2 linked regions of the Bombyx mori genome follow. The main gene of each other region encodes a partner of the protein of the gene in region 2 in a complex. Links are inferred from orthologs where the notes say so. Each region holds a gene or a part of one and is shown on either strand. Other genes may lie near its edges. The genes, in order: MIP18 family protein galla-2 and NIF3-like protein.

Region 1 (9,972 bases), on a different chromosome or scaffold from region 2:
GTATCCCAATACTCTCGGAAGGTTGCAGGGATACTCCTTGGAATTGCGGCGCCATGACAAAGGGGTCCTTCTTCGCAGTGAACGCGCAAACTTGTGTCTTTATCGGGTTGAATTGAACCAAGTTCAATTCACCCCATTCGGAGACTCGCCTCAGAGAGTTCTCCACTTCAGACACAAGTTTAGATCGTCTCTCTTGCACCGCGCTCCGAGAGAGACTCTGATGGCCGATATATCGCGCATCCCCCGTGCTGTCATCCGCATAGCAATGCATGCCATCAATAGACAGCATGTCATTGATATACAGGATGAAAAGCGTGGGGGAGAGCACCGAACCTTGTGGAACGCCAGCGTTAATGGTCATGGTATCAGAGCAGTCACCGTCTACAACGACCATGATGCTCCGCCCATCCAAAAAGCTAGCGATCCACTTGCAGAGACCCTCGGGGATTCCGTAAGATGGTAGCTTCGACAGAAGTGCCCTATGCCAGACCCTGTCGAAGGCCTTCGCGATATCAAGGCTCACAGCAAGAGCCTCGCCCTTGCTCTCCAAGGCTTCAGCCCACCTGTGAGTAAGGTATACGAGAAGATCGCCAGCTGAGCGACCGTGACGGAAACCGTACTGTCGGTCACTGATCAGCTGGCGATCTTCAAGATACTTCAGGAGTTGTATATTTATTATTCGCTCCATCACCTTGGAAAGCAAGGAAGTTATCGCGATAGGCCTATAGCTCGATGGAAAGGAAAGCTTTTATTACTTAAAACTTTTTTTAAACTCTTTAAGTTTAAAAAAGTTACTTTAATTTTACTTTAGTTTAGTTACTTTAGTCTTTTACTAGTGGTCCCGCAGTAGTCGAAATTCGACAATAATTGATTAAAATTATAAGTTTGAACATTACTACGGTTCTATTGTCAAAGACTATTTATTATACTTCTAATCACAGACTTCGCCAAGACTACACTATAGACAAATAACATTAAAGAAAAACAATATTAATCTATTCTCAATTAGACCACAGACTTTAAACAATAAACAAAAGTTTGACAATAATATGTGTTGTCAAAGTTGTATTGTCAAAGTGTGTGTAATGTTTTATTTATTGATTTAGTGTATTTTTATGCATAATTTAGAAAAAAAATATTAACATTCTGCACTCCTTCTCTTTATTCTCTATAAGTGTGGGTAGTTTGAAAACTCCTCCGTCCGCGTGATTTTCGTAAAAAAAGGGGTAAAGTTTTTGCTTCACGTATTAATATTTCTTAGTATTATTACAGGAAAAGTAATTAAGTATTTTATTGTTCATTAATTCTGGAATATTCCGTATCATTACATAAATACCCGTGATTATCCCACCGGGATCCCGGTCACATTCCACCGGGCGAACGAGACTTGAGACTCACCTGTGGGGCTTAAAGAGGCGATCAGAGATGGTGGAAGCATCTTCGGCACCTCTAAGCCGCGCAGTTTCAAGTTTATAATCTGTAATGAACACACAATTTTACTGGTGGTAGGATGTCTTGTGAGTCCGCACGGGTAGGCACCACCACCCTACCTATTTCCGCCGTGAAGCAGTAATGCGTTTCGCATTGAAGGTTGGCGCAGCCGTTGTAACTATACTGAGACCTTAGAACTCATATCTCAAGGTTTGTGGTGGAATTTACGTTATAGATGTCCTATGAGCTCCAGTAACCATTTAACACCAGGTGGGCTGTGAGATTGTCCACTCATCTAAGCAATAAAAAAAAGATCACGGATAGAACATAAGGTGGCGTCCTATGTCTGTGTACGATAGAACATCGATTATGATCGAAAAAAAGGTTACTTTATTTGCAAAAATTTAAAAAAAGCTTCTATATAATAAATATATGTATATATAGTCCATAAGAACCGATGTTTTTTATATCGATGTTTCACTTTTGGAAATATCGATATCCTAACATCGTTATTTTTAATGAGCGATTTTTCAACCGGATACGGACGTTGGCACATTCGCAAATTATGAAGACTACACAGAAACTCACCTTGCAAGCTATAGAGAACTCCTTCAAATCCAGCTTACCGTCGGCGTTCGTGTCCGCCAGTGACCATATTTGTCCCAAGACCGGTGGAGGAAGCTGAGACTGTGAACAGAAAGACAAACAAAACTTATTTTAAACTAGCTGTGCCCGCGAATTCGTCTGCGTGGAATTAAAAAAATATTACTTTATTCTATAATAATGTTACGCCGATAAGAGCAACGCCATCTGTTGTCGAATGGCAGAAGTGAATATCAAAGGAACTAGTAAACTCGAGAACGCTCGGGAAGTACAACGCCATCTATTGTCAGATAACGGAAACAGATATCCACACGACTCGACTTGCCAGAAATCGGAACTACTCGAAGCGAAACAGCGAACGGATCACCTGAAGCGAAGCGGAAAAAGCGAATTACGAAGTATTTTAGGTGTTTAATTTGTACTGTGGTTGTATTTGTGGAAATTTTATTTATCCCGAACCCCAGCGTGTAAAAATAATTTTAGAATTTCTCTAAAATAGAAGTAGCCTAATTTACTCTTTATTCCATCTCGTGTGTTTAGTGCGAGTGTTTTAACGTTCTCGATCGCGTAAAAGTTAACTCAAATTTATATGAAACGAAATAAATATGAAAAAAAAAAATTGTTTGGAGTTGGAACGTTTGCCTACGTTGGTCGCTAGGGGCGCTGTTCCATATCCATACAAATTTGAGTTAACTTTAGGCAGCAGTAGGGCAGCGGCTTGGCTCTGCCCCTGGCATTGCTGAAGTCCATGGGCGACGGTAACCACTCACCATCAGGTGGGCCGTATGCCCATCTGCCTACAAGGACAATAAAAAAAAAAAGTTCTAGATTTATAATAAATACGCAAATTAACTGACCTGTAACATGAATCTTTTAGCTTGTTCGCCCGTCAAATTTCCATTGACAGGTCCAAGGTTTCTAAAGTGCTCCGAGAACTTCGCATGCTCATGTGCTTGTATAGTCCACGGGTCCGCCATCATTTCTGAATTAAAGACGTTTCTTTGAACCTAAAAAAAGATATACCTCTTAGTATGTATGCAGTCTTCATTACAGGAAGCCTAAATTTATAATCATAGAAAAATCCTAATCCTTTTTCATTGTTTAATTTTCAACATTTTGATTGACATTAATGCAGTAATTTTGAGAATATTTTAATTTGGCATTGTATATTTAATGTTGTCTTTGGAAATCAAACAATGCTTCCTTTGGGAAGTTAATATTAGAACAGGTGAATATATCTATATTAAGTTATAATATTGAACTAGATAAACCATCAGATAATATCTTATTATGAGCATGTTTCTGCATATCTTGGTTTATCAAATTTAAAAAAAGAAATGCATATCACGGTTTAAGGTTTATGTTGTACTATTAAAAAAATTTGTTTGATTTTAAACAATAGACATTGCAACATGTTTTTGTTAACTTTTTCCCGACAATCAGGAGCGGTGTCTTTAGCCAAATTGTATGAATAGAATGTCTCCAATATGGTAGGTCATGATAAAGTACGAAAAAGCCTTGATTAATCAAGTGAAAAGTAGACTTCTAAATTTTTCCTATATTTTATCACTTCTCTAAATCTATTAAAGATGTACCTAAGTTCTATTTAAAATATTTGCTCGACGTACAGACGTGTGTCACATACAATAAGTAACTCAACATACAATAAGTATTAGAATACTACAATTGGTAGAGCAGTTCAAGATAATGTTCTTAATTTTTTAATATTGCTAGCTCGTTGTTTTATAACTCCGTGACCCGGATAAAGTTTAAAGATACCTTAAGCACTAATATTCAATACATTTTTTTGTTAAAATCAACGTTGTTCAATAAATTAATAATAAGTACTACTACTCTTTTGGTACCAACAGGCAGGGGGTGTGTCTGCGAACTAAAACAAATATTTAGGAATTAAATTCTAGGGAATTACATAATGTATTACTTACTTTAACTGTTGTTTGACCTAAGAGAATAGATTTAAGACTGATCCTCCTGAAAAAGGATCGAGTAAAACCCCTCAAAGTTCTAGATAAAGTATTGATTTTTTGATTGGGTGCAACTGTCAAAATCGAAATTTGGTTTTTGACAGTTAATTTTTTTATTGTGGCTCGCTCGGTTTGTGCATTAGCCAGTGTCAATTATTAATTATTTTGCCGTTTATAAATAATAAAAAACGAAGGAAACTGTCTATGTTGGCCATTATTATTCTGTGTAAGTAGATATGAATTACATTAGCAGCGTCTGTCATTTTTCATAAAATTAAGAATATAAACTAAAATAAGATATGACTTAAAGATCTTAGTTACCATGTCATAAAATTCCTAAAAAAAAGAGATAGAGATAGAAGTGAGTTATTATTTTGAGTAGAAAGGCTGTATGGGCTTAGATCCCCTTGCCTTTCATAATAAGGAAAAATTGTACCAAAAAATATATTTTGAGTAGAACGAATTGATATAATAAAAAGTTCGAACTTATAAAATGACCAAAACAGCGGATAACATCAACCCTCACATTTACGAGAAGGGTTCAGAACGGGAGATCACTTCTTCGGAACGCGACGAAGACTTGCAAGATGAATTTGATGATCGCGAAATATTTGATTTAATACGAAATATAAATGATCCTGAACACCCATTGACACTCGAGGAGCTCAGGGTGGTGGAAGAGAAGAATATAATCGTTAATAACGATGATAGTACTGTATTAGTCAATTTTACACCGACAATTCCCCATTGCAGTATGGCGACTCTGATAGGTACGTACTTTTTTTAGCATTAAAACCTATAGTTAATGAGAGAGTAACACACACATAACCAACGCACACCGATAATGGTGGAACAGCCAATATTTCTAAATTAATATTATCATACTAATGTTTTTTTATTGGCAAGCAAATAAACATTCATGCCCAGCCAACGAACAGCTTCCTTTTTTTAATTGCGTGGGTAGACGATCATACAGCCCGCTTGGTGGGGAGTAGCTACAGTCCCTCATGGAAGGTAGCAATTTCAGGGGTGCAACTAAAGTGCAGTCTACCGCTGACCATTTTCAATGGATTGATAATGGGTTACCGTAAACTCTTATCTCTCATCTCTCATCTTAGGCAGTTGAAAAGATCTCGCCAGTTATATTTCAAAATTGTCACCTCTCTTTCGGCCAATATGATCGAAGAACTCAAATATCTTCCTGAAGCAGACGATAGAAAGCCTTTGGATATTGAGCTGTTTTAATATGGATGCGTTAGTCTGATATTTTGTCCACGGAATAGTCACTACTGTCTAGCCTATTCCCAATTTGAACCATTATTGTTTTTGCTTAAGAGAGAGTAATTTTAAAATAGGGCTCAAACTTCGAGTTGCTCAAACTTCGAGTTCAGGACTCAAGATGGGTGGCAGTTGTCCCAATGTGATGTCCACGGACATCTGTAATGGCTATAAACTATGAGAGCTGTGAGCTTGTTCATTCCCCTAGTGCAGTTAAACACTTTTGTAGATAATCTGTTCTGTTATAGTTCTAATTAAAGTTGTGAAGCTTCCGGAAAAAAGTACTGCAAGCTTAATTAATGAGATTTGATTTTTATTTCAGGTCTTTCAATACGAGTTCAACTACTCCGAGCTCTGCCAAGCCGTTTCAAAGTGACCGTACAAGTATCGGAGGGCTCTCACGCTTCCGAACATGCGGTCAACAAACAGTTAGCGGACAAGGAAAGAGTTGCTGCAGCTTTAGAGAACAATAATCTACTGCAAATCATCAATCAATGCATAGCTGTTTAATTGATAGGGATAAATTTATTTGTAAGCCAGATTATCAGTGGCTTTGGTCCAAAGAATGCTGGTACGGCATCTGATTCACTTGCATATACATTTGAGGTTATAGACGTATCATTCAATTATCGATCTTAAAATATGATGCCTATGACTTCATTGGTCACTTGCTGGTACCTGTTTTGAAGGAGACAGCTTATATTATTTATTATTGCTTATAAATACTTGAATGCTTAATGGGTTCCTGTAGGACCTCTTGTGAGTCCGCGCGGGTGGGTACCACCGCCCCGCCTATTTCTGCCGTGAAGCAGTAATGCGTTTCGGTTTGAAAGGTGGGGCAGCCGTTGTAACTATACTGAGATCTTAGAACTTATATCTGAAGGTGTGTGGCGCATTTACATTGTAGATGTTCCAGTAACCACTTAACACCAGGTGGGCTGTGAGCTCGTCCACACATCTAGGCAATAAGAGATAAATAAACATTAAATACCTATTTATTTTGTATTTTAGCAGGAAATAAAAGGCTTTCTATTTTATATTTATTTATTGCTCATATGGGTCAAACTTGCCGGCAATGGTATTTAATCTGTCACTAGAGCCCAGGGAAATCATGAAAGTGAAATTCATTACTGCTTGACGTCAGAAAAATATAGTGATCTAGACTTGCAATTGTGTTTTTTTTTTTTTTTTGTCCTACCACCATTAATATTTAGACCTTGTGTTCCATGAATAATGATAATATACACTATGTTTTCAATGTGCTCTGATATCTGTCTACTGGATAATAAAAGTTGATAGCCTAAATAATCATAGAAAAAAAAATGTATATTTTTAGTGAATTTATGTAAAAATATTTTGTATAGTTAATAAATAAATAAATTATGTATGTGGTTTGTTATTTACTGCTCGTATTCGCGGGAAATTTGCACTCAAAAAGTCAAACTCTTATTTTATAAACACTTATATTTTTGTGGTATTCGGATTTTAACAAGAAAACTGAGAAAACTAAGCTAGGAACTAGATCAGCCTTTCTCAAAGTGGGCGATAACGCCCGCTTGTCGCTGTAGGCATAAAGGATGGTAAGAGACCCAGAAAAAAAATGGGGGCGTTGTGTAGAGGCTTGGGAAGCGATTTGTAATTTCGTCTTGGAGGACTTAGACAACGACCGAGGTCTTTCTATAGTGGTTAAGTAGGTGAAAAAACGGGGGCGCTAAAAAATAATTTATTCTCAAAGTGTACTGTAGACAAAATATGTTTGAGAACCCCTGGACTAGACGATACTAATTATATTAATATTATGTATACGAAGATATTATTTTTATTTTAAATGCTAAATCGGCGCGAGAATGACTGACGTCAGGTGACACCTGCGCGTTCAGGAATAAAATTTCGATCGTGCCCAATGACTAGGGTTATAGTATAGTATGTTATTTCGGATAATTTTGGCCTATACTTTATGTGAACAATTACGAACAATACTGGTGTTAGGACCTCTTGTGAGTCCGCGCGGGTAGGCACCACCACCCTGCCTATTTCTGCCGTGCAGCTGTAATGCGTTTCAGTTTGAAGGGTGGGGCAGCCGTTGTAACTATACTTGAGACCTTAGAACTTATATCTCAAGATAGGTGGCGACATTTACCGCTCCGGTAACCACTTAACACCAGGTGGGCCGTGAACTCGTACACCCACCTAAGCAATAAATTAATAAAAAGTTGCCCGAGCGCCTCCGAAGGAGACCTAACAACTCAAGAGCAGCTGCTCCGCGAATGCATCTACTACCGGATCGGAATCGCGACCCGCTCAAAATATACAGCGAGAAACTCAGCTGGGCTGGTGTATGGATATGGATTAGGTTGCGCAGTTACCAGAGCCCCTAAACCTGCTGCTAATGTTAGAGCTAAAGGCGTCTAATGCAAGGGTTATTGGATCTGATGGATCCGTAAGGACGCGTCTAGGGCGTCGACGGTGACTGGCTCCTGCATAATCAGCATTCGGGAAGCAGTCAGCGGCGGTCACGATTGGGCGATTAACATGACGCATAGCTTCATCGAAGTGCAGTTCCGACGCTGACTTCATGTTTTCGAATCGTTACGAGGTCCAGGTCGTCGTGTATCTCGGCGTTCCTTACTAACCAAGCAATATGTCTGTGTGCTTAGTGCGAGTTTTTTAACGTTCTCGATAGCGTAAAAGTTAACTCATATTTGTATGGAATGGGATCGTTTGCCTATGTTTGCCGCTATGTGGGGCGCTGTTCCAAATGCATACAAAATTGGGCCAACTTTTACGCTATCGAGAACTTTAATAGACTCGCACTAAGCACACTGAAGTAGATACGACTTTTTTTTTTGTTGCCCTTGTAGGCAGACGAGCACACGGCCCACATGATGGTGAGTAGTTACCGTCGCCCATGGACTTCAGCAATGCCAGGGGCAGAGCCAAGCCGCTGCCTACCGAGTCCGAGCCCTACGTAAGAAAACCACAATATACTTAGGACATTAATCAGTTTATTTCATTTCACACAACACAGTGATATTTTTCGTTTACATAAATTATCAATTTTCACAATCTTAATGTTACATATTCTTATATACAAACATCGATCGAACATAATACATTCTCCTTTAGATGTCATAGTGCCTAGACAACACATTAGATGTAAAAATTTTAGATGACATTTATCTTCGCACGTACCTACCTAATAATAGCAAGTGTTTGTGCTATTAAAAACTTGCAGTCGTAAATAAGACGCTAGTAGGATTATTCATTTAGTAAATTAATTGAAATAGATAAGAAATACGAATCGCAATGTGTCGCGTATCTATGGCAAAATGTTCCAAATTGTTTTTTTTTTTTGCTTTTTGTAATGACATTGTTGCCAGCGTCGAGTTTATAATATGATATCCACATAATTATCATGTCATATTTTTAATTGAACTTCAACTTAGTTTACTCCATTCAAAAGCTGAAGTTTTTTTTTTTGTTAAAATCATTTTTCCAAATTGTAAACTCTATAAGGGTCTCCTGTGAAGTTGCAATAATGTCGCTTACACATTATATAATGAAATAAATCAAATGTTAATGATTTATCTAAAATTTCGCATTGAAATTAGTCTTAAAGTAAAATGATAGGAATTTACTGAGATTTCGTTATTTATTTTTTGTAGGACCCGATCTACAATACACGTCCAGCGATTTTTTTTAATTTCCCCGAATTTGTGCCCTTTCACCGACGCTAACTGATAAATAAACCATTATCATTATTGCACGCTCACACAAGAATAAAGAAGAGAGAAAGTGGCACCTGTGACAGAGAAGCCGAGGAGTGCGCGCTTGGGATGATATGGACATGTGATGAGACCAAATGAAAATGATGTTGTTAAGAGAGTGTTAACTATGAATGTGGAAGGATTTAGAGGAAGAGGTAGACCTAAGAAGAAATGGATGGATTGCGTGAAAGACGATATGGGTAGGAGGGGAGTGAGCGAAGAAATGGTATATGATAGAAGAGTATGGAAGGAGAAAACATGTTGCACCGACCCCATGTGACTGGGAGAAGGGCAGGAGAATGATGACACACGAATAGAGACTACTTATATATTATTAAAATAAAACAATTCACGCAACTTATTATCTGCACGCGTTCTCGCCAAAAGGTATCTGATTCGTAATTAGAAACATAAATAAGTGAGATTCTTGTCAGTGATAACAAGAACTCATTATTTGCATTCAATCCACAAAAGAAATTATATTAATTAACAATTATTGCCCGACCCAGAAGCTGATTTTTTACACTTCAAGGGGAGTTTCAACATTATAATTGCCTAAGTTGATACAAAATGCTATGCAATAGCTTTACCGCCGCAGTCCCTGAGTACCACACGTATTTTTTTTATGAATAATAAATTAATCTACATTTATTTTTCATACGAGATTGTGTTTATTTTTTATCGTCTCTGAATCTATTGGCTTTTCATAAAAAATTCCCGCCCCTCAACTCATGTCGCTTCAGGTCCTATGTGTAATGCGTAAATCCACCACTGTTTCTACCCCTCCAATAATTGAACTGTAATTTTAATATAATATGCTTCCTAAGGATGGCAAGTACAAAAAGTTTTTTTTTACTTGGAGACCGCATTCAGGGTACTATTGAAAACTAGTTTTAATTACCCTAAAT
Region 2 (10,147 bases):
ATGTACTGGCTAAGTGGGCTGTGCAAATTAATATTTGACACACTGAGTGAGACACTGCAACACACATTATCGGGTGCTCTTTTCCTACATTCACATCTTCAATTGATTTAAAATTACTTGTATTTTTACTTCTGTGCTATTTTCATGACACGTGTATATTAAGTCTACTAGTTGCATTTTAGGAAATAAAACACAATGGGTAATAAAATGAAATTAACTAAAATTCATTTATTTGTTATATGTAGACAATTAAATAACTCTTAAATGACAAGTCAATACACATAACACAATACACATAGTACTTGATCTCTATTTACAAAATATTGGTTATATTATTATTATTATTAAGTTCAGTTAATTTTCTGTAGTCTTATAATATAACATTTCCTCTATTTTAAGTAAATTCTTTTTTTTCAACGAAATACATAATTTATTTTAATTAATATCTAAATGGACCATGAGTATCATTAAAATTTCGCAATTTAAATTTCAATTCAATTAAAAATTGCCATTTTTCTTTAATAAATCTTTTAAGTTTTTGTTTCAATACCTTAACATCTTGTCGTAATTTTGCTTTTCTCGGGGTATTTTTTATTTCTTGCGTTTGAGTACTTGATTCCTCTTGTTTGACCTTTATATAGGACATTTTCCAGAAATTCCAACGTTATACTTACTAGAAGATCCTCCTCGTTCGCTTAACGTCAGGCAAATGATATACATGCTTGCGTGCAACGCTATTCAATACAATAAAAAAGTTCAAAAAATACCACATGATGGCTCTTATAATATGAAAAATACATTGCAAAATTATAGTTTTCACGATTGTTTTTCCAAATTTAGTATATGACATAGATTAAGTACAATTTACAAGACAAATGGTATTAAATATTATAATGAGAAAAAATATCTCACATTTTAAAAATATATGCTCACACTAGTAAAAATTTATCAATGAATCTGACATATGGAAGGATATTCCACAAACTGGAGAGGATTCTCGCTTATAACCACTTACAATACAAGTGTTCACCATGATTACACGGAAACTTTCACGATTTTCGAAAAAAAACAAGCCACAAGCTGTATCAGTGCCCTTTTAACTTCAAACTACAAACGTAAATAGACGCCATTTTTCTTTTAATCCATTCATAGCTCTTTTTCGGTGATGCCAACAATTAATCTGGCTTCCCACCAAATTCAACATGAAAACCATCAGAAATCTACGTACCTACCATTAAATTTTCCATTAAACAGAGTTCTTATTAATATAGAACAATAATTTTTTTGTTAACGAGCTTTATTAATATATGATGTTCTATTAAAAATCAATATATATCATATAATCAATACTTCTCATATAATTTATTTTAATAAATTGTCATCATCAGAAACTAATTTCACCATAACTTTGTACGTTTATTTTGGACCAATTCAATTTTTTACGTTGATGGAAATTCTAAATTCTCGCAACATTTTCTAGTTAAGTTTAAGTCAAAGTCACATCGTTTAAATAATATGTATTTAGATATATTATTGTCATAAAATGTTTAAAATCCTGTAAAGTGGATTGATTTTAACCTTTTCGATAATTTTCAACAACGCCCAAGCTACTAAAAAATCCACTAACCACTAAATGCCATTTTTTATAAGTAAGATAGGGGTCCAAATTACGAGATTTTGTGGAAAATCCTCTAAGCTAGCAACACTGCTTTTTGTTTGTAAAATGTGCGAGAGGGACACCACCACTTAATAATCATTCTCTTTTCAGACCGTTTTTCCTTACATCTTTTGCTATTTAAAAATAAACTTTAAGTCATAGAGATAAAGTATATTTTTTGTTTTTATGTCAAACGAAGTAAGCACTCCAGTTAGGATAGTAACTCTATGACTGAAAATTACAAATTTAAAATTACGAGTTACAAGCACAGAGCAAATACAAAACACATTTTTTTTGTAGGTAATTTTTCGGCCACTGGCTACAACACCTTATAGCTTCAGTTTTTTTTAAAATAAAATGCGTATATAGGTAATCATCTGTTAAGAGGTTGACCCCAACTGTTCTGGTGAAACCGGAAACAGCCGCAGACCATCTGTTATCTCTTCCTTCGAAATAAAATGAAATTACATTAGTTAAATGGTGGGAATTTACTTGTAGCTCAATGGGTTATTTGGAAATTTGGTTTTTTCCCACTTGTAACAATGCGTTTTAGATAGTGACAATTGTAACAATGCGTTATAGAATGTTTAATATGCCACCATCAATAAATGCTTAAATCTAAAAAAATACTTAATTCAAATAAAATTTCATCGCATTTTTGTCAATAGTCGCAATTTTATTTGTCCCTTAAATGTTATCTGGACATTTCTGGCCAATGGCCCTAAAGCCATTGACTTCCATTTTTTTGAAAAACCTTAAATGTCATATTTGACAAATATTCTACAGTGATTATTTCAAAAAAATTACATTTCTGAAACAATTTGTTTTCAAGAACTTCACTCTTCTCGAGTGGCAAACACGAAGTGAGTACATAACTTTACTAATTTATCTTGACTAATTTAATGAACAAAACGTATAAACAATAATACGTGTATTAAAAAATCAACATACTAACGTTTAAAATTTTCCAAAAAGATTCCACAATGACTTATTTGTATGTTTATACATAAATTAAGTGTTATAGTTCCTTAATAGCCGAATATTATGTAAATTTCCAGTTGACGTCATTATTATACAAAATAAGTAAATAGAATAAACGCTTAAAATGTTTAAACTGGAACTGATTCAAAATCTGGCCGGACACAAGGGTATAGTTTGGAATGTGTCGTGGCATCCACTTGGAAAATATTTTGCTTCTTGTGGTGAAGATAAAACTATAAAATTATGGAGTAAATATGGACAAGATTGGGCGATTAAGACTGTACTTGTCGATGGACATCAGAGAACAATTCGGGAAGTAGCCTGGTCACCCTGCGGTAATTTCCTCGCTTCAGCCAGTTTTGATGCGACTACTGCAATTTGGGATAAAAAAAGTGGTGTGTATTTTTCCCTTGTGACCCTGTGAAGAATTTGTACATCCAAAATTAAAATGAGTAACACTTTATAGGTGAATTCCAATGCAATGCAACTTTAGAAGGCCATGAAAATGAAGTTAAAAGTGTAGCATGGTCACCTTCAGGCCATCTCCTGGCTACTTGTGGAAGAGATAAGTCTGTTTGGGTGTGGGAAGTAGCTGGAGAAGATGAATACGAGTGTGAAGCTGTACTTAATGCTCACAATCAGGATGTGAAGAAAGTTAGTGCATGAATAAACAAAATTGAGTTTGTGTTTCTTACATATAATGAATGGATAAATTATATTATTTTCTTTATAGGTTGCATGGCATCCTTCTCTAGATATCTTAGCATCAGCATCTTATGATAACACAGTAAAACTGTACCAAGAAGATCCTGTAGATAATGATTGGACTTGTGTTGCCACTCTACATTCGCATGAGTCAACAGTTTGGAGTTTGGCATTTGATAAAACTGGAGAAAGACTGGCGACATGTAGTGACGATAGAACTGTAAAAATTTGGAAAGAATACAAACCTGATAATCAAGAAGGTGTTGTGGTGACTGATCGAGAGGCAGTCTGGAAATGCATATGTACACTCTCTGGATTTCACACACGATGTATTTATGATATTGCTTGGTGTCATAAAACTGACCTCATAGCTACTGCTTGTGGAGATGATATCATTAGAATATTTAAAGAGAGTGAAGATTCTGATCCTAATGCTCCCACTTTTGAACTTCTTTGTACAAAGAAAAATGCTCATTCTCAAGATGTAAACTGTGTAGCTTGGAATCCTTCAGGAAATCAAGAACTGCTTTCTTGTAGTGATGATGGAGAAATAAAAATATGGAAGTTTACAGAAGCTTAAAGTAACTAATTATTGACAGAAAGATCAAATAGAAATGATCAAAAAATCTAACAAGGAGTGATAATAATTTTATATTAAGGTTATGCCACAAGACATTAGCTGTGATTGTATCTAGCAAGATATAAATGTATTGTAAATACAGTATAAGTTTCAGTCTTTATAATAATTGTTGAAAACATGATTTAGTATTATTGTTCACGAACATAACCCAAATAACTAATAAAAAAAATAACAAAAAACATTATAACATAGATAAAATGTTTTGGTATACACTGCACTGGCTTGCTGATATAATCCATGGGCTTACATATTTTTTTTAAATATGAAAGCTTTGAAAATCTGACAATTATTATGAAATATCAACTTCTTTAGATCCAATCATTGAACTATACAAAATACCCACAGTCAGGTTTTTTTTGGTATAAGAAACGGTCTTATAATATGAATTAACAAAACACTAAAGTACTATATTATTACACAATATACCATATTAAACTATTACAAACCATATTAAAAATTAAAAGTGGCATTATAAAATTCCAATTTATAAATTAAACATCAGTTAATTGTTTTTATAATGGAGTAGTTAGTTTTAAAGATAAGGAAAAAGGAAATAAAGTTTGGATTAAAATAATGATGAAAAACAGCATTTATTATTTCACTGAATCTTTTCAAAATGCCTTTTGGTAAAATTTAATTTTTTAACAATGTTTTATTTCAAATTTATTAGTAAATTTTACATTTAAAAATTAAACTTTTTTCAGATATTACTAATGTTCTTTCAGTTAGGCAGGCACATTTTAAAGTCAAGAAATTCAAGGAATCACTTGTTCACACATTTTATCAAAATGTCAACTGAGAAATTCTGTGCAGTGTCTTTGGAAAGAGTAGTAACAGTACTTGAAAAATTTGCTCCAAAAGAATTGGCAGAGAGTTGGGATAACACTGGTTTGTTGGTGGAACCTTACACACCGAGGTATGAGCAAATTTATTCTTGACTACAAATACCCACTAGCAGTAACAAAAAAAAATGTTATTCATTTAAAATTATGTACTATTATAATAATTATATTAAGGTAGCTACTGCCTCACATAGAAACTGGTAATGACAGAGATGCTAAGCCTTACTGTGTATTGCTTTAGTCTTTAGACTTATTGTAGAGGATTACACAGAATTGGCCGTGTGGTGTCCGTGTGGTGTGGCCTCGATAAAGAATAATACCGGGCGACTAACGGGTTATCCAGAGAATGAGCGGCAACGTTCTCTGAGTATCATAACAGCATACTGCGATCGCCAACCCGCATGCCAAGCGTGGCGATTATGGAAACCCCTCCCAACATGTCTGACACAAATAAAAACCGCCCAGTCCTCGGCAGCTCCGCTATTCCTGGCTACAGTAGCGGTCAAGGTAACGGCGGGGCAGGGGGTGCTAAGAATCTCCGGCAGAGATCCGGCTACGTAAAAAACGACGATTGGACCTGGCAACATATAACGCGCGAACACTGCGGACCGATGAGAAGATTGTGGAACTCGAGGAGGAATTGAGCAGGTTACGGTGGGACATTGTGGGCTTATCTGAAGTCCGAAGAGAGGGAGAGGAAACGATAATTCTGAGGTCCGGTAACTTGTTCTATTTTCGGGAAGGTGATCATCTGTCTTAAGGTGGTGTCGGGATTATCGTCCACAAGTCCCCTATGAATAATGTGTTGTAAATCGAGAGTGTATCGACCAGAGTGGTTGTACCTTGTACTCAGAATCACCAAAAGGTATTCGTTGAAGATAATACAGGTTTACGCTCCGACTATGTAATAGGACATTTCCAGAGCCATGCATAGCTCTACAACTCACTTCACCATTGTCATGGGGGATATCAACGCCAGACTCGGTAAACGGTGCGAAGGGGAGCTGCGAGTAGGACCATTTGGATTTGGGCATCGAAATCACCAGGGAAACTTACTTGCCGATTTCATGGAGAAGAAAGAATTATTTATGATGACCTCTTCAGAAAACGGGGTCACAGGAAGTGGACCTGGATGAGCCCCAATAGCGCTATCAAAAATGAGATTGATTTTATTATGTCGCAGATTTTATTATGATGTCTCTGTGATCAATACGATTAAAACCGGAAGTGATCATCGGGTGGTAAGAGGCACAATGAACCTCAATAAACCTTGAGAGATTCCGAGTTATGAGGTCTACGCTCCGTTCAGCACCAGCTCAGATCCAAAGTTCTAGACACTTTCAGCTCGAACTTCAAAACCGCTTCGAGTGCCTAGGAGGCTCCGTGGACGATTACAATAACGGGTTTGTGAATGCTGTCCATACGATCGGTTCCAAGATTTTTGGAACCCGTCGTGCAAACAGAACCAAAAAACTCTCAGACCCTACTTTCAAACTCATGGAAGAACGTCGCGAGATGATTATGCAGTCTTGCAGAGATGTTATTTCTCCGAAACTATTTACCGCTGCGTTGGAAGACATTTTCAAAGTTCTGAACTGGAAAGGGCTAGCATAAACATCATCGGCGAGTACATAGTTCGCCGACGATATTGTGACTATGGCCGAGACCTTGGAGGACCTTAGTACAATGCTCAAAGACCTCAGTAGGGCTTCTATCCGAGTGGGCCTGAATATGAACATGGAAAAAACAAAAATTATGTTGAATGTTCATATAGCGCCCACTCCAGTAAAAATTGGAAGCTCTACGCTCGAAGTTGTTGACGAGTATATTTAACTGGGACACACTGTCCTGCTAAGTAAGTCCAACTTCGAAAAAGAGGTCAATCGTCGAATCCAGCTTGGATAGGCAGCGTTCGGAAAGCTACGTAAATCTTCTCATCACAAATACCACAGTGTCTCAAGACGAAAGTCTTTGATCAGTGTGTGTTGCTCTGAAATGTGGTTGCTCACAATGGCCCTTATGAGAAGGCTCAAGGTCACTCAAAGAGCAATGGAGAGGCTATGCTTGGAGTTTTCCTGCGAGATAAATCAGAAATGAGGAGATTCGCAGGAAAACCATGATAACCGACATAGCCCAAAGAATTGCGACGTTGAATTGGCAGTGGGCAAGGCACATTGCTCGTAGAACGGATGGCCGTTGGGGCCAGAAAGTTCTTGAGTGGCGACCGCGTACCGGAAGACGTAGCGTGGGCAAGCCTCCCGCAAGATAGAACGACGATCTATTGAGATTCGCGGGAATCTGCTGGATGCAGGCAGCGCAGGACCGGTCTTTGTGGCGAGACTTGGGGGAGCCCTGTGTCCAGTAGTGGACGTCTGTGGGCTGATAAGAAGAAGAAGACATAGAATTGATAGATAAGTCTTAAGTATTAAAGTTATGATTACCTTCATGCTTTGGGTTGAAATTGTATGTGCTTTGAAGTTTCAAATTATAAACTGTCAATTCAGCCGTATGTAGGGTATATAAAATATATAGGCTAAAGTGTCTCTTTGAATAAAGCCAATGATGACATTATTTGAGGATTACCAAACATGTTTGATTAAAACATGGGTATATAATTATTTTTCATATATAATTATATTATATTATTTCATTGAAAATTGGTTTTCTGTAATCAGCTAACCTATTCCTCGAAAACCTTTTTAATAAAAATAAATAAAATTACATGGCCAATGCCCATTGCACTTTTGCGAATCACAAGATTTAAAAAATACAGTCTATTCTCAAACACAACCAGTGTGGACTAAAAGTCACTCCCCTGTTATAGAAAGATCTATACAGAACACAAAGTGAGGATGCAACTATAATATGAGTTGATGATGTAGAAGTGGTACCAGCTAAAGTCAAATGCCTGTAAGTTCAGACATATAATCGCCAAACTTATAAAAATACTTTAAATAAATTTCCATTAGTTAATTTGACAAATTTAAATTAATTTTCTTTATGTTTTTAATTACCTATTTAAAATATAATATTTTTTTATAATTTTCAATTCCAGACAAATAACCAAAATTTTGTTAACTAACGACTTAACAGAAGATGTGGCCTTGGAAGCTGAAATTCTGGCGTGTGAGATGATTATTTCATATCATCCTCCGATATTTGCGCCTTTGAAGTCTATTGTTCAGCGGTAATTATTTATATAGTTCTAGTCACACGTCTTTGACGCTATTTATCACTTTGTCAGCATAGTATCCATATATTTTATATTATCAAATGAAAGTACAGTCAAACCTGGATAAGCGAGAGTTCAAGGGAGCACAATCTCATTCTCGCTTATAGAGGTTTCTCACTAACCCGAGTTTCTCGCTAATGCTCCCTCTGAATTTCGATTCGCGATTTTCCGCATTCAAATGCATTCACTATTTTAAGTTTATGACTTTAATGACAGTACTTTAATTTTCCGTTTTTACATGATGCAGAACAGAACTTTCCTTCGCAATTGATTAACGATAATCTGAGTAAGTCCGACAAACAGGACGGTACACAGGCACACGTGTCCATTCGAAAATAATGCGATAAAAGAATACGATAAAATAACAACGTTATTTAGTTTCACGAAATAGAATAGGTTCAATATTCACGAGAAAACAATACAAAAACAATGATAATAAGTTCCACGAAAGTTAAAAATGAGTCATAAAATAGCAAATGTTAAATTTGTAATTTGTTTTGTCATTTGTTCTTCCTAAATAATATAAATAAATAAATAAAGCTCGGCTGTCGCTTATAGAGGTATAGATAGGTAGCAGTCTCACTTACGGAGGTCCATGAGGAAAAAACGACTCTCTCTTACAGAGGTTTCTGTTTCTCGCTAATAGAGGTTTTGGGAGCTTAAAATGACGGGTCCTTGCTATTACTCTCACTTATAGAGTTTTCTTACTTATCCAGTTCTCAATTACCCAAGTTTGACTGTATTAGTTATGACTAAAATCACGGTGGACTATACGTCTGGGAATTGATTATTTAAATGCCAAAAAGCACGGTGGCAAAAGTGTACCGTCTGTAAAATTGTAAATCTGAAGGTTACCTATCCATATTAATATAATAAATATAAAAATGGTATACACATTGTGCGTAGAATAGAAAAGGACTGAGAATACCTTGTATTTAGACTTTTAGTGTACTATTCCCGAGGGATATTTTTTATACAATAACGCTAGCCGAAACTATTTTAATAGAATGTTATAATTATATTATATTATATTATATATTTATATTATATAACTGTTACAAGACTTTAGATCAAGTCTATTTACAACTTGGCGATTTCAAATATGTATTTTTTACAGTTCGTGGAAAGAACGGGTTGTATCTTATTTATTAGAAAAACGAATCGCCCTGTACTCGCCACATACTAGTTGGGATAGTGTGCAAGGCGGGGTCAATGACTGGTTGGCATCTGCTTTCTCTGTCGCAGAGTCTAAGCCAATTTTACAATCAAACAACCCCGACTTCGGAGCCGGCAGGTAAGCTATGTTAAAAGTTCGCCCAATTATAAGAATTTGATCGCAAACACTGACCTCATAATGTTTGCATTAATTAAATGTAATTATTATTGTATTATTGTAATAATTTATTATTAATATTTTTTTGATTTTCGTCGCTGTCAAACCAAAATCTTCTATGTGCAAAAACTCTATTTTGAATTAAGGAGTAAAAACATTTTCGTATAAAATTTTATAAGGTGATTTTTTAAGAACTATATCAAATGAAAGCTATATATAAAAATTAAAGCTATAGACACATAACTGTTTTTTTTATAAGGTATATTTTTTATAAAGATAAACTGTACGAAGATAGGCTGTAAACTATACGAAAATGTTAAAAAGTAAAAATCTCAAAAAGTGCACATAGCAGATTTTTGTTTGAAACGACGTTTTGCTATTTATATTTAAGTTTGAAAACCAGAGAAGAGAGTGCTACTTATCTGATTTGTTTGTTATAAATATTATGGATTCTAAGGAGTCTTTGAAATAATCGCCGTCTTCGGTATTTACCAAAGAGTTTCGGTTACAGCCGTCGCAACATTTAGCACGAGTACCCTTTACACGTTAGATCAGGAAGACATCGGCCCTAAATTAATTGAGAATATTTTTTTGTAGATTACTTCATTTGAGCACCGGAATCCCATTATCTGATGCAGTAAACAGAATTAAGGAACTTACACGACTCTCCCATGTCCGCATCGCTGCCGCAAAGGGAAAGTCTATGACGCACACCGTTCAGAGGGTAGCGTTATGTGCCGGATCCGGAAGTTCGGTA

Evidence for each region.
Region 1: the proteins of NIF3-like protein (region 2) and MIP18 family protein galla-2 are in contact, whole or in part, in a crystal structure (PDB 6TBN), measured with the Drosophila melanogaster proteins. The link is inferred for Bombyx mori from reciprocal best matches to the Drosophila melanogaster genes Ciao1 and galla-2. Residues at the interface, in NP_610996.1 of Drosophila melanogaster: Arg16, Trp18, Arg60, Thr61, Arg63, Phe79, Glu105, Lys107, Arg123, Asp150, Lys152, Tyr168, Asn170, Ser195, Thr196, Trp198, Thr216, Ser248, Gly249, Gln250, His251, Ser252, Arg253, Tyr256, Gly272, Asp273, Asp274, Arg277, Glu299, Gln304; in NP_648416.1 of Drosophila melanogaster: Ser74, Pro106, Lys109, Thr111, Ala124, Lys127, Gln128, Asp131, Lys132, Glu133, Arg134, Ala136, Ala137, Glu140.

What each region holds. Positions count from the first base shown.
Region 1 is NC_085117.1:633,258-643,229, forward strand, and holds MIP18 family protein galla-2, read left to right. Parts: upstream 1-4,387; 5' UTR 4,388-4,512; coding exon 4,513-4,789; intron 4,790-5,619; coding exon 5,620-5,807; 3' UTR 5,808-6,684; downstream 6,685-9,972. Other genes in the region: intersectin-1, read right to left, coding at 1,399-1,477, 2,020-2,118, 2,892-3,014. UniProt on the Drosophila melanogaster protein: Component of the crb-galla-Xpd (CGX) complex which is essential for proper mitotic chromosome segregation in early embryos. The CGX complex is also required for cell proliferation in developing wing disks.
Region 2 is NC_085116.1:9,598,723-9,608,869, reverse strand, and holds the start of NIF3-like protein, read left to right. Parts: upstream 1-4,771; coding exon 4,772-4,899; intron 4,900-7,880; coding exon 7,881-8,012; intron 8,013-9,174; coding exon 9,175-9,351; intron 9,352-9,987; coding exon 9,988-10,147. UniProt on the Drosophila melanogaster protein: Essential component of the cytosolic iron-sulfur (Fe/S) protein assembly machinery. Required for the maturation of extramitochondrial Fe/S proteins.